3 linked regions of the Callithrix jacchus genome follow. The protein of the gene in region 2 interacts with the protein of the main gene of each other region in a biochemical or structural test. Links are inferred from orthologs where the notes say so. Each region holds a gene or a part of one and is shown on either strand. Other genes may lie near its edges.

Region 1 (4,389 bases), on a different chromosome or scaffold from region 2:
TACAACGTCCTTGCATGAAATGAAAATAACGTATATTCACTTGGCACAACTGGGAAAAAGGCAACTTTGACACACACACAAAAATACACTCTCAAAAGCCACTTGGTAATGGCGGAGACTTCCTCTGAATTAAGCAGTTAAGAATTAATTTCTCTCAGGAGAGCATGGTGACTCTATTCTGTATTACTTCCTTTCTCCAAAATCCTTTGCTCTTCTGTTCTATGCAACAATTAGAACTCCAATGCACAATATGCAACATAACAGGAATTACTGAAAAGAATCTCTAAGTACCAGCAACTGGTAGTACTTAAAACCCAGCAAACCTCTCAAATCGGAATAACTTGCTGACAAGTTAAGTGCCTCAAACATTTAAATGTCTGAGTTTAGGCTCCGCACAGGAGCTCACACCTGTAATTTCAGTACTTAGGGAGGCTGAGGCAGGCAGATCACTTGAGGTTAGGAGTTCGAGACCAGCGCGGCCAACATGGTGAAACCCCGTCTCCACCAAATACAAAAATTAGCCAGGTGTGGTGGTGAGAGCCTGTAATCCTAGCTACTTGGGAAGGTGAGGCACAAGAGTGCTTGAACCCAGGAGGTGGAGGCTGCAGTGAACCGAGATCCTCAGCACCACTCACTCCAGCCTGTGCAAGAGTGAGACTCGTCTCAGATAGATAAATAAATAAATACATACATACATACATACATACTAGGAGATAGCTGATCATAAGAATTAACTCTTTTAAATCTTGAGATTGGGAACATTTTGAACTTGGGAAGGAGCAAATAGAGATTTCTTTGTCAAAAACAACAACGAAGGCCAGTTATAATAGATGCAGAAAAAAGATCCCTGATTTTTAACTAAAAGCCTAACAAAGAATAAATTAGTACTACTACAACGCGCAGGCTTCAACTAATTCGATGGTCTAAATCAGTTCTAGCCTCTTACATTTTTCAGACTATTTTAACCTAATATAGACTTATAGTTGACCTTCACTTTTTAACATTAACACCCCCCACTAAAAGTCAAAAAGTCACATAAGCCCTGAGCTGACCCAATATTCCTTACTATTATAAAGACATACTGGAAGAAAGCATAAATAGGTACAAAAGCATAATCTTAAAAAACTAAAACACAAAACAACAAACAAACCACACTTGTAACCTAGTGGCAGGACTGAATTCTTAGGGATTAATTCAATCTTTTTTTTGAGACGGAGTCTCGCTCTGTCGCCAGGCTGAAGTGCAGTGGTGCGATCTGAGCTCACTGCAATCTCCGTCTCCCGGGTTGAAGCGATTTTTCTGCCTCAGCCTCGAGTAGCTGGGACTACAGGCGCGCGCCACCACACCCAGGTAATTTTTTTATTTTTAGTACAGGCGGGATTTCACCATGTTGGCCAGGATGGTCTGGATCTCTTGACAAAGTGCTGGGATTACAGGCGGGAGCCACCGCACCCGGCTGAATTCAATCTTTTGAGCCCCCCACCCCCTTCTCAGCGGGGGAACCTCAGCCTCCAATGGCTCTCTAGCAACCCTTCTGGCTGACTAGCGAACGCAGGGGAAAGCGCAAAAGTAAAGGCACCAAAGCAGGAAAGAGGATCTCTTCCCGAGAAAAAGGACGGAATCTTGAAATCAGAGAAAACTAACAGTGCGAAAGGGAAGAAACCTCGAAAAATTACGCCAGAGTGGGGACTACCAAGGAGGAAGGGGAAGTAGATTAGAAAAAAAAAAGAGGGGGGTGGGGGAAGGAAGGGGCAAATGACTTGCATTACACAAGCACTTCTTGTCCCTAGTGGAATGGACAGAAGTAGATAGAGAGGTAAGGAAATAACTGGAGAAGTACTGAGTGAAAGAGGGGTTAAGAAAGCCAGGGACTAATGCTGATTTCTCTCATGTGTCTGACATTTCTGAAAGTCAACAGCATCAAGAAGAGACACACCTCAAATGCACTTCAGTCCTCTGCAAACTGCACTTTCATAGCCTTTGAAGCCAGGCTTGAAAAACTTTCCAAACAAGCCATAACTCATATGTGGTTTACAATCACAGAGAGGGCGCGCTGCAAATGAAAATTACCAGCGCCCGCTCTCGCCGCAATGTTTCCTCGGTGCAGTCCAACCTGCTGCTGCTTAATTTTTCAAATAATTTTTTTTTAAGTCTCAGAATAAAGACATCTCCCCCGGGGAGATGAACGTTCTACCCCACCGTGGATTCCCGCACAAAATTAAGCCCAAAGACGCCAAGAGATGGTGACGTGGTTGTCATGCAGGTCGGAGGCGCATCAATCACCACAGCTGCAGCCCACACCAAGTCCCCCGCCGCCGGGATCGGGCGGACTGACTCAGTCGGGGTTTTGCCCTTCCGGGCTTCCCAGGCCCCTTTCGTGCAAACCCTTCCGACGAAGGCAGGGGACTTCACGAGGGAGCCCCGACTTCTACCCCCGGGCTCCCGGACACTGCACAGACAGCCGAGAGCCGGAGGAGGACGTTCCCCAGGAAGGAAGCGCCCCAAAAGGGGAAACGCAGAGTCCAGAGCCTTGGGCATTCCACTCCGCGTCCCGAGCTTCGCCGCCCCGACCCGACCCCAAGGGCCGGGGTCCCGGTTCCCCCAGGGCCCACTCCCGTCGCAGAGCGGAGAGGAAGAGACACAGGAGCGGCGCCGAGCGCAGCCGCCCGCACTCACCGTGGCGCAGCTAGTCCGCTCCGCGTCGGGCCTGACCCACCTCAACGCTGAGAGCGGCCGCCGACCCCGAGGCTGCTCCGCGAGGGCGGCGCTTGCTCCCGCCGCCGTCACGGTCACAGACACAGAAACAGACACAGACACAGCCTCAGCCACAGCCGCCGCCGCCGCCGCCGCCGCCGCCCGGTCGCCGAAGCAGCAGAGCCGCCTCGCTTCCGCTCGCCGTGGGTGTCCCGCGAGAACTTCTCCACGAGGCCCCGCCCCGCCCCGCCCCCGCGAGACTTCCCCCGGCGGAAAACGCCCAAAGCGCAAGCGCTCCTCCTGGGCCGGGCTCCGGCAGGTAGTGACTAGCTAGGCCCCAGGGCGCATGCGCCAGACCGCCCGCAGCAGGTGGCCTCGTCACGGCTCCGCCCCTGGGTCGCCGTAACCCTCTCGGTACCAGAGCGGGTAAATAACAGCTTAGTCCTGAAGGAATAAATTCTTACCCCGTCTAATCACTTTCTTTTCTCCTCTACCAAACCAAGGCAATTGGATATGGATGGGGGCTGGGGGGAGGAAGAGAGTTTCCAGCCTGAAGCACTCCAAACAGAAGACCAGGTCTTGAAATATTTGAGAATCCGTACAAACTCTGCAATGTTGAATGATTGGTGGGTTTGTTTACTCATTTATTTAATTATGTGCCTAATATAGGCTGAACACTGTGCTGGATATAGAACAGAAATCCTGGTCCTTAAGGAATTTACGGTCTAGGGAAGCAGAGAAAAATAAACAAATAATGCCATAAGTACTGTTATTTGGAGTTTGCTGAGAAAGCTAAAAAGATGGAAGAAGAATGGCTACTCTGCCCATTGCAAAAGAGCCTTTACAGAGGTGATGCGGCGATGTCTAAGCTGAGTCTTGGGGGATGAGTAGGAGTTTGCCAGGCAGAGAAGCCAGAGTAAGGGCATTTCAGGGAAAGGGAATGGCACGTAAGTACAGAGGCTAAGTACAGCGGAACGGAGGCGTGAAAGTCGTGTGCTGTGCAGTGCTAAGTAGTTCAATTCCTGTATGAGGCCGGTGAGTATGGGGGAGTGGCAGAAGATGAGGCTTCGGTAAATAATTCTTGTTTTTCAGTTATCAAAGCTCTTTCCAATTAAAGGATAGAACAGAACACACCTAGTGTTAATGTGTCTTCTGGAAGCCAAAAAAATAGCGTTGAGATGAGAATAACCAAGCATCTGATTGTACAGAGGAAACAAGCCCATTGAAACACAGAAAATGAGCCGGGCACGGTGGCTCAAGCCTGTAATCCCGGCACTTTGGGAGGCCGAGGCGGGTGGATCATGAGGTCAAGAGATCGAGACCATCCTGGTCAACATGGTGAAACCCTGTCTCTACTAAAAATACAAAAAATTAGCTGGGCATGGTGGTGCATGCCTGTAATCCCAGCTACTCAGGAGGCTGAGGCAGGAGAATTGCCTGAACCCAGGAGACAGAGGTTGCCTTGAGCCGAGATCGTGCCATTACACTCCAGCCTGGGTAACAAGAGCGAAACTCCGTCTCAAAAAAGAAAGAAAGAAACACAGAAAATGAAATGTTGAAATGTTCTTTCACCAAGTTTTTATTGAGCATCACCTGTATGCAAGGGGCTTTGCAGGATAAATGACCAACCAGATAAAGCCTCTGCTTTCAGTGCTTTGTAATCTAGTTTCCTAGTCTGTAAGACAAGCAGTTGAC
Region 2 (4,220 bases):
CTTCCACAATGGTTGAACTAATTTACACTCCCACCAACAGTGTAAAAGTGTTCCTTTTTCTCCACATCCTCTCCAGCATCTGTTGTCTCCAGATTTTTTAATGATCGCCATTCTAACTGGCGTGAGATGGTATCTCAATGTGGTTTTGATTTGCATCTCTCTGTGGGTGAAGGGGAGAAGAAAAGCAAAGCACACTGCCATGTGTGTACCTACGCAACTGTCTTGCATGCTCTGCTCATGTACCCCAAAACCTATAATCCAATAAAAAATTAAAAAAAAAAAAAAAAAGAATTCCTCATTTCCTTCCAATCCTGCATGCCCTCCCTCCCTTGGATGACTCTACTTTCCCTCTCCTCCTAGCAATACTTTCTGCTCCACTCTCTTTTCAGTCCTGAGAATACATTCCCTGGATCAAGGTCATTCCTTTCAGTCCCCTATATTTCAGAAAGACTCACTGTCTTTCTGTTTTTGTGGCTAAGGATTTGAGCAAATTCTCACCTAAGCCTAAAAGTGTAAACATAACTGTCCACTTTTACTGTCATCTGGTACCAAATAATTACATGGTTAATCAACCTTCAGAATTTACGTCAGCCAATCAGGACAGAGGACACAAATCACAGGAGGTAGGTATTTCATCTATCAACTCCTTGCCATCTCATCCATCTAATTACGAAAAATAATTAAGATGGCCCTTTGAGCCCACTGAATTTACAATTTCATTTCTTTGAAAAGTTCCACGTCAACAGTGTACATTTACCAAAACAGGACGATTCTATAAAGACGACTGAGTAATCAAGTAGGAAAAATGTTACTTTTATGTAAGCAGATAAGTGTACCATACGATTATCTATGGTATAATTTTGGTTTTCTATCCCATAATCTGTGGTCGTATATTGCCCATCAACTGCTCTGTGATCAAGCTGGACTTTGTCTCAAAGGGAGGAATCATAAAAAGATTTAAGTTCTAGTACCTTTATTTAAATTCTCATCTGGATTCCCTGAAAGAGGTTCTACATTTCTGTATAGTTCTTCATTATGGAATATGTCTAAAAAAAATTTGGAACCCTCCTGCTCATTTGAGAGGAGAGTGCCTAGTTTCTTTGCATGTCTTTCTTCCTCTCCTTCCCTCTTCCTTCTCATGCTGTGTCTCAAGTCCAGGCCTACCACCCTGGATGCTTGGGTTACTTAAGTGCTTCTCCCTTCCACCAGATCCCTGCCTCCAGTGACCCTTCCACTCCAACGCATCCTACCGGCCTCCTTTAAGCCTGCTGTCACGACATCACTAACAGCGTAACCTGTTCTTCAACTCCCTATGGTTAGGGCCCTCACCATCCTTTGCAACGTAGACCCACCCTATGTGTCCAATCATACCAGGACCTTTGGGTTCCACATGCCCAACTCTATAGCTTCTGTTGGACAGAAAACTCTCCTCATCATCCCATATATGGACCATACTTGTGTTAAGCTTCAAGTGACCACTTCTGTATTTCCTTCCTCCCAGCACATAACATGTTTCCTCCAATTCTCCAGCTCGTTTATCATTTTACTCACCTCTCAAAGCCCACCTCTAAAGTATCTTCTCTATGAAATCTCCTCCTGCTACTTTAAGTCTATTCTTACATTCTTTCAGTCACTTACAGCTTCCATTGTATCACCCCTGCCCCTCATGAGGGTGTAGCTATTTGAGACCAAGGGCAAGACTGAAGTGCCTTCTTGTCCCATCAGTGCTGATCACTCAGCAGCACTCAGCCCGTGCATGAAATGGTTGAACGCAGTCAATGCTGCCTATTGATCCCAGATCATCAGTTCATTTCATATTACCTCCTACTAAGCACCTCCTAGACATAGGACTTGTATTCTACTATGAAAGGCTGTCCCTCTGCCAATTCCAGACTCGCTCTTAAATGTTGTCTCAAAAGCTTCGATTCTCTGGCTCCGTGTTATCTGTGATTACTTGTCTGCTACACATGTCACATCATCCCCTGAACGTCTGGCTAAGTGCCAACAGTAGTCAGAATATAAAACACTCCCTGAAATTTAAAAGTTTCGGTCTCCAAAAGCCACGACGCCATTACAATGAGACAAAAAGAAGACCTTCAAAAGCAAAATTTGGGGAAGTTGTCTTTTCCATAGCTCCTTGACTCACGCTTGTGGGGCCGCTTCTGGTTTATTCTTTCTAAGAGGTTTGTTACAGATCATTGTTACATTAACATGAGGGCGTTGGAAAGACAGATCTAATCCCCCCAAGCACACTCATAATATACACCCACAAAATAAATGAGAGAGTAAAACAATGAATAACAAATGATTACAGCTATCCTTAAAATTAAATAGCAACCTGCGATAAAATGGGTGAGGATTCAGTTTAGAGAAACCCTTCCTTAGAAAGTTGGTTGCATTCAGACTCTGAAAGCTGACCTTCCGTAGAATCTAAGCCCTTGGCATTTCTGTTTTATTATCTTTCCAGAGCTTTACACTTTATTGTAAGGGCCAGCTAAAGCAAATCTCTCTTGCTCCTACACATTTTTAAAGAACTCAGTCCACTTCCTATAGTGAGTGCCACCCAATGCTTTCCCTAAAAGCTCAGTCCACTTCCCTATGGCAAGTGCCACCCACTGAAGACTAGCAAAGCATTCCAGGATTTCAATATTTCTGAGACGCCATAAGAGCATGGCAGGGGGAGAAGGAGGTGAAGAAGGATAAGTATTGGGTGGGGGAAATCTTACCTCAACTTCTGACTGGCGGGGATGGTTATTTTATTAAGCTTGTCCATTCTGTTTGGTAATTGTAAGAGACACAAATAACTGTCCAGTGGTCACGTCAGCAGTTCCTGGCCCTCCTAGGGAGCAGCATGTCAAGTCCCTGGTCTCAAGGGTTCCGGCCACTTGAGTCTGATTTCTGAGAGCGCAGGCTGCTGGCAAACACCCCTGCTCTAGGGAGAAGTAAAACTTGCCCGAGCACATAGTCAAGTTTCATGTTTCTACATAATCATGTGATCTGGATAGCCAGCCAGCTTGTTGATTACTCCACGTTGTGTAAACTTTAATAGTGAAACCTATTGGGCATGCAGATTTCTTTCCAGCTGCTTTCTTTTATAATCAGATTTGTAACCAGGTTGGGACAAGCTTCTGGCTGATCACGACTTCCTGTTTGTCCCAAATACATGTAGTCTGTTTCCAGCAGGTGCGTGCTGTGACTGGGAACTTCCTGGGCTCAAGGAAAAGCAGAGTAATCAATTCTATCTGAACATCTCCTGGAGATTTTCTGCTTATTTGCATAAAGTCATGGATAAGCTTTTTCTACTTATAGAATCATTATATAAAAATGGCGTTTTTGTGTTTTTTCCTCCCCCTACTCTTTGCCGGCAATATATTTAAAAATAAATATCAGGAGGGCAGTGACATGGTGGTACAGTTTACACAGAGAGTTAGAGTCTATCTTTTTCTGGAGCTCTATTTAAAATGGAATGGGCAATTATCTGTTCATCTGGGGGTAGGGATGGGTGACCCAGGAAAGGGTAGATGATCTCCATCATAAGATGTGCAGCCTCCTTACTAACTGTTAGAGTCAGGAGTTACCTTGCTGATAACTTTCAAACAAACCAGGATGTACCCAAAAGTCAGCTGAGAACAAATCTAGCAATTTCCCAACAATGCAATTCTGACATCAGGCCATTCTGAAGTCCTTCTAAAAGCAGAATGCCACTCCCCTCCTTGTGTTTGCCTCTTCCTGCCCTGTCCACAGCTTGCTTATCAGACCCAGTGACACATCAGACATGGGGCCATCTCAAGCCCAGACAGATGAGGTGAGGCTGGGAGGAAGGAACCATACCTGTAGGGGCTGAACCCTTCAGAGAACTCTACTTCCCTCCTGGAAGACTTTACATTTCCTTCTGCCTGATCTGAAAAATGCTGATTTATCTGTTGTTTAGAGAGCAGACTACAGTCTAGGGTCAGGGAGGAAGAAAATGGGAAGGACTTTTTGTACCTAGGCACACTTTCCTGTAGCCATCTAGAATGTCCTGCTCACCCTTGTGGAATAAAGTGCACATTTCCAACATTTATCAAGGGAACCAGTCTTCTCCTGGGTCCGAAGAATACACAGCAGGACAAAGCAAAGGGCTCCCAGTTACCCCTCCTGTTACAGATCCAAGATCTGGCTGAAGATGGGGGGAAAGAGGAGAAAGAGGTAGAGGAAGACAAGGAGGAGAAAGGAGACAG
Region 3 (4,192 bases), on a different chromosome or scaffold from region 2:
GGGAGGTGGATGTGAGGACAGCCCTGAAGGGGAAACTAAATTGAAGACACCCCCTGGGCCCAGCGCCAGTTCGAGTCCCTTTTTTTTTTTTTTTTTTTTTGAGATAGAGTATTGTTCTTGTCCTCCAGGCCGGAGTGTAATAGCACAATCTCGGCTCACCGCAACCTCTGCCTCCTGTGTTCAAGCAATTCTCCTGCCTTAGCCTCTGGAGTAGCTGGGATTACAAGCACCCGCCACCACACCCGGTTATTTTTGAATTTTTTTTAGTAGAGACGGGGTTTCGCCATATTGTTCAGGCTAGTCTCGAACCCCTGACCACAAGTGATCCTTCCGCCTTGGCCTCCCAGTGTGTTGGGATTACAGGTGTGAGCCACCATGTCCGGCCCAAGTCCCTTCTTTATATTCATTCATTTAACTTCCACAGCTCCTGTGCAATGGGTGCTTTCTTCTTCCAAGTTTTGGATGGAGAACTTTAGGCTCTAGAGGGCCACCTGGGCATTGGGAGTCCTTCAGCCCAGGCCCTTACCCGCCAACTCGGGGGTCCCAGCAGACTCACCCTGAACAGCAGCAGCGTTCCAGGCACCACTGCGCAGAACAGGAGGATAATCCCCTCGGCTGTGATGATGCGGTTCTTGGTGCCCTCCCCCATGTCCAGGAAGGGCCTGGGGGGCGGGTCTGCAAGGAGGTAGGAAGCTTAAAGCCCTGGCACATCTGCCCAACCTCTGCAAGGCCCCGGGCCCCCCGAAATCCCCACTCTGCAGAGGAGATCGTCAGTCCCTCGTCCGAGCCAGTTTGAAACCCACAAAGAAGGTACTGGGTATATCCCCTCCACACTTCAAAGATAAACTGAGTGTCCCCAGCGGGAGAGTGGGGGTAGGGGCCAGGGCCAGGCCACTCACGGCGCACGCGGAGGTAGGTGCCGCAGGACTGCTGGTATGGCTTGTTGCCCTCCTGGACACGGCACATGTATATGCCTCCGTGGCTCTTGTTCACGTTCTGGATGGTCAGCGTACCGTTGACACCCTGGCCCAGGCCGACGAACACCGGGGGCCACGTGTAGTTGCCGTGGAGGACACGCCACCAGGTGACGTTGGTGTTACTGCCATTGTGAAGGCACTGTAGGTGGGCCTCTTCCCCCAGGCTTGCCATCAACGATGTTGGGCCCTTGTGCACCCACAGGGCCTGGCACCCAGGGCCTGCGGAGAGGCAGGGTAGGTGGGTCAGGGACTGGGCATGGCGACACAGGCCCGCAGCCCTGCCCTTACAGCTCCAGCACTCCTGGGAGGGGTGGGGAGGAGGGTGAGGACACTCATGGGGGGAGGGGAGGAGGGCGAGGACTCTCCTGGGTCTGGAGGAGGAGGGAGAGCCCCTGAGAGGGGCTGATGCATCTTGGGGAGAGGCGGATGCAGGAGAGTGAAGATGCCCCTGGGAAAGGAGAGAGGACACAGGGGTTGGGGTGGGTGAGGACATCCTGGGGGAGGAGAATGAGACTCTCTGGGATAGTGAGACCCCTGGGAGGCCCTTGTCACCTCTGCAGTGCCATCTCCTGCCCCCCTCCTGCATACCCACTTTGTGCTCTGGCCTGAGAACTCACTGGCTTTTGGATGTTTGTTCTAGGAACTGGAGGCTGCGTCCAGACAGCTCTTTCCAGAAGCAGGCAGGCATCCCCTCCTCCCACAGCCTTCCCAGTCCATTTTCCCACCCCAGCCTCAGTGAGACTCTGCACCTGGTGCTTTTTCTTGGTAATCCTCACAGAACCCTAGCAGTAGGTTCTTTCCTTAACCCCACTTTACGGGAGGGATGACTGAGGCCCAGGGAGGGCAGGCGAGTTGCCAGCATCACCAGGCAATCAGGAGTGGCACTGGGTTCAAACTCCTGGCTCCCTGGCCTCTTCCTGCCTGGGCTGAGGAGCCTATCTGTGGCCTGCCCTGGCCTGTGACCCTGTGCCCGTCCCTCATTCTCTGTAACTTGTATGTTTCAACTTCAGGGTCAGGGGTGAGTTCAGTCCTTGGGCTGGGCTGGTGGTGAGTGAACGCCCTCAGCAGGGTGGAGGTTGTGGGTGTCTGAGTCGGGGTGGCTCAGGCTGACTGCAGCGTCCAATCCGGGGCTCCTCTGGGAAGCCCCAGATCTCAGCCAGGCCACCCACATGGCCGGCCTCTTCTTCTGGAAGCAGTCGGAGGAGGGAGGTGGGGAAAAGAGAAGGAAGAAGAGGTAGGGAGAGGGGCCAAGCACCCTCGTTGGCATGGGCTTAGGACTCAGGTGGGAACTCCAGTTACCCTGAGAAACCGAGAAACCTCTGAGCTCCTGGGGTAGCATGGCCACGCGCTGGCCTTGGGTGGGCAAGGGGGGTCCATGAGGCATCAGATCCCCCAGTGCTGAGAAGGGGCTCCCAACACAGGGTGGCGCCTGAGGTTTAAGGCAGAGAAAGGTTTTTCTCCCCTTGTCAGACACTGAACGCTGCTAGCCCCACTGCCCTTCCTGCCTGCAGCCCTGGTGCTCAGTCAAGAGCGGCTTTAGTTCCTTCTTTTACAGGAGGTGGGGGAGGTGACGCTTGCTCCTGCCTCCCTCCGTGGGGCTCTGGACCCCCATTTTCCTTCGCTGGGCTCTCTCCAGCCGCATCTTTGCCCAGCATGGAACAGACCCGATTTCTACAGGTGTCTTCCCTGGCTCTGTGCTCTCTGCCTCCTATTCCCCTCTCCTGAGCCCCCTTCCCGCTGCCTGTGCCCTCTCTGCAGCCTCCACGGCTTCCCCCTCCTCCCCCCAGTTCCTGCCCATTGGCCACATACCCAGGTAGGCAGCAGACAGCAGGAAGAGGAGGAATATGGAGGCAGGCAGAGCTTGGAGGACTCCGAGACCCCCAGGCATCTTCTCCCGGTCGATGCGTTAGTTTGAGCTGCAGCAGTCCTGGGGTACCAGCTCCCTACCCAAACCCCACCCTATTTCCTGCCCAGCCCCCCGGAGATGGGCTCTAGTGGTCCTCGCTGCTGGGTCCTTTGCTCGTTGGGCCTGGGGACAGCCCCTGCCGGGTATGCTTCAGGCCATGAGTAGAGAGGAAGTGCTCCCTGCACCTGCGGTGGCCACAATTCCCCTGAGAGGTGGCTGCCTGGGTAGGGGTAGAGGCTGGTTCAAGGGCTGGGTCATCACTGCTGAGCCTTTGGAAGGAAGCCTAGAGAGCCTGAGTCCTGGTCACGTGCTCTGGGCAGGTGAGGGTTCTGAGCTTGACCTCTGCCCCTGCCTGACCTTGGGCAAACCTTGTTCCTTCCCTGACGCCATTTCCTTGCTTCTTGGGATTAGAAACAATGACTTAAGGCTGGGCGCGGTGGCTCACGTCTGTAATCCCGGCACTTTGGGAGGTCGAGGCAGGCTGATCACGAGGTCAGGAGTTCAAGACCAGCCTGAACAATATGGTGAAACTCCCATCTCTACCAAAAAACACAAAAATTAGCTGGGCATGGTGGGTGCCTGTAATCCTAGCTACTCAGGAGGCTGAGGCAGGAGAATCACTTGAACTTGGGAGACTGAGGTTGCAGTGAGCTGAGATGGTGCCATTGCACTCCAGCCTGGGTAACAGAGCAAGACTCCATCTCAAAAAGAAAAAAAAAAGAAACAAGGACTTAAAGGGGTTGCTGGGTGCACAGAAATGGCACATAATAGGTGCTCAGTAAATGCTAGTCACTATAAATGCTCATGAAGAATCAGTAAGGCAGGCTGCCCCGTGGCTAACATGTGACAAGGTGGGCAGTTTGATCCTTCCAGCCTTGGCATTTTTTGTCTCTGAGATGGGGATCAGAATGTCTCCCTGTCTCATTATGTGATATGACATGGTGTTTGTTCCCGGTATTCAAGGAGTTAGACCCATGATCAGCTCATTACTGGAATTCTTTTTTTTGAGACCGAGTCTCGCTCTGTCACCAGGCTGGAGAGCAGTGGTGCAATCTCTGCTTATGGAAACCTCCGCCTCCTGGGTTCAAGCGATTCTCCTGCCTCAGTCTCCTGAGTAGCTGGGACTACAGGCCCGCACCACCACACCCAGCTAATATTTGTATTTTTAGTAGAGACAGGGTTTCACCATGTTGGCCAGGATGGTCTTGATCTTTTGACCTTGTGATCTGCCCACCTTTGCCTCCCAAAGTGCTGGGATTACAGGCGTGAGCCACTGTGCCTGGCAGAATTCTTTTTTTTTTTTTTTTTT

What was found.
Region 1: the proteins of BLNK (region 2) and GRB2 form a complex in vitro, tested with the Homo sapiens proteins (3 studies listed by BioGRID and IntAct, with this or other methods). The link is inferred for Callithrix jacchus from reciprocal best matches to the Homo sapiens genes BLNK and GRB2.
Region 3: the proteins of BLNK (region 2) and CD79A form a complex in vitro, tested with the Homo sapiens proteins (2 studies listed by BioGRID). The link is inferred for Callithrix jacchus from reciprocal best matches to the Homo sapiens genes BLNK and CD79A.

Annotation. Positions count from the first base shown.
Region 1 is NC_133506.1:131,303,704-131,308,092, forward strand, and holds the start of GRB2 (growth factor receptor-bound protein 2), read right to left. Parts: upstream 2,891-4,389; 5' UTR 2,677-2,890; intron 1-2,676. UniProt on the Homo sapiens protein: Non-enzymatic adapter protein that plays a pivotal role in precisely regulated signaling cascades from cell surface receptors to cellular responses, including signaling transduction and gene expression.
Region 2 is NC_133513.1:89,104,667-89,108,886, forward strand, and holds the start of BLNK (B-cell linker protein), read right to left. Parts: upstream 2,894-4,220; 5' UTR 2,774-2,893; coding exon of another isoform or gene 2,727-2,773; intron 1-2,726. Other genes in the region: uncharacterized protein LOC118146130, read left to right, coding at 3,776-3,805, 4,147-4,220. UniProt on the Homo sapiens protein: Functions as a central linker protein, downstream of the B-cell receptor (BCR), bridging the SYK kinase to a multitude of signaling pathways and regulating biological outcomes of B-cell function and development.
Region 3 is NC_133523.1:36,905,082-36,909,273, reverse strand, and holds the start of CD79A (B-cell antigen receptor complex-associated protein alpha chain), read right to left. Parts: upstream 2,891-4,192; 5' UTR 2,866-2,890; coding exon 2,787-2,865; intron 1,197-2,786; coding exon 900-1,196; intron 676-899; coding exon 557-675; intron 1-556. UniProt on the Homo sapiens protein: Required in cooperation with CD79B for initiation of the signal transduction cascade activated by binding of antigen to the B-cell antigen receptor complex (BCR) which leads to internalization of the complex, trafficking to late endosomes and antigen presentation.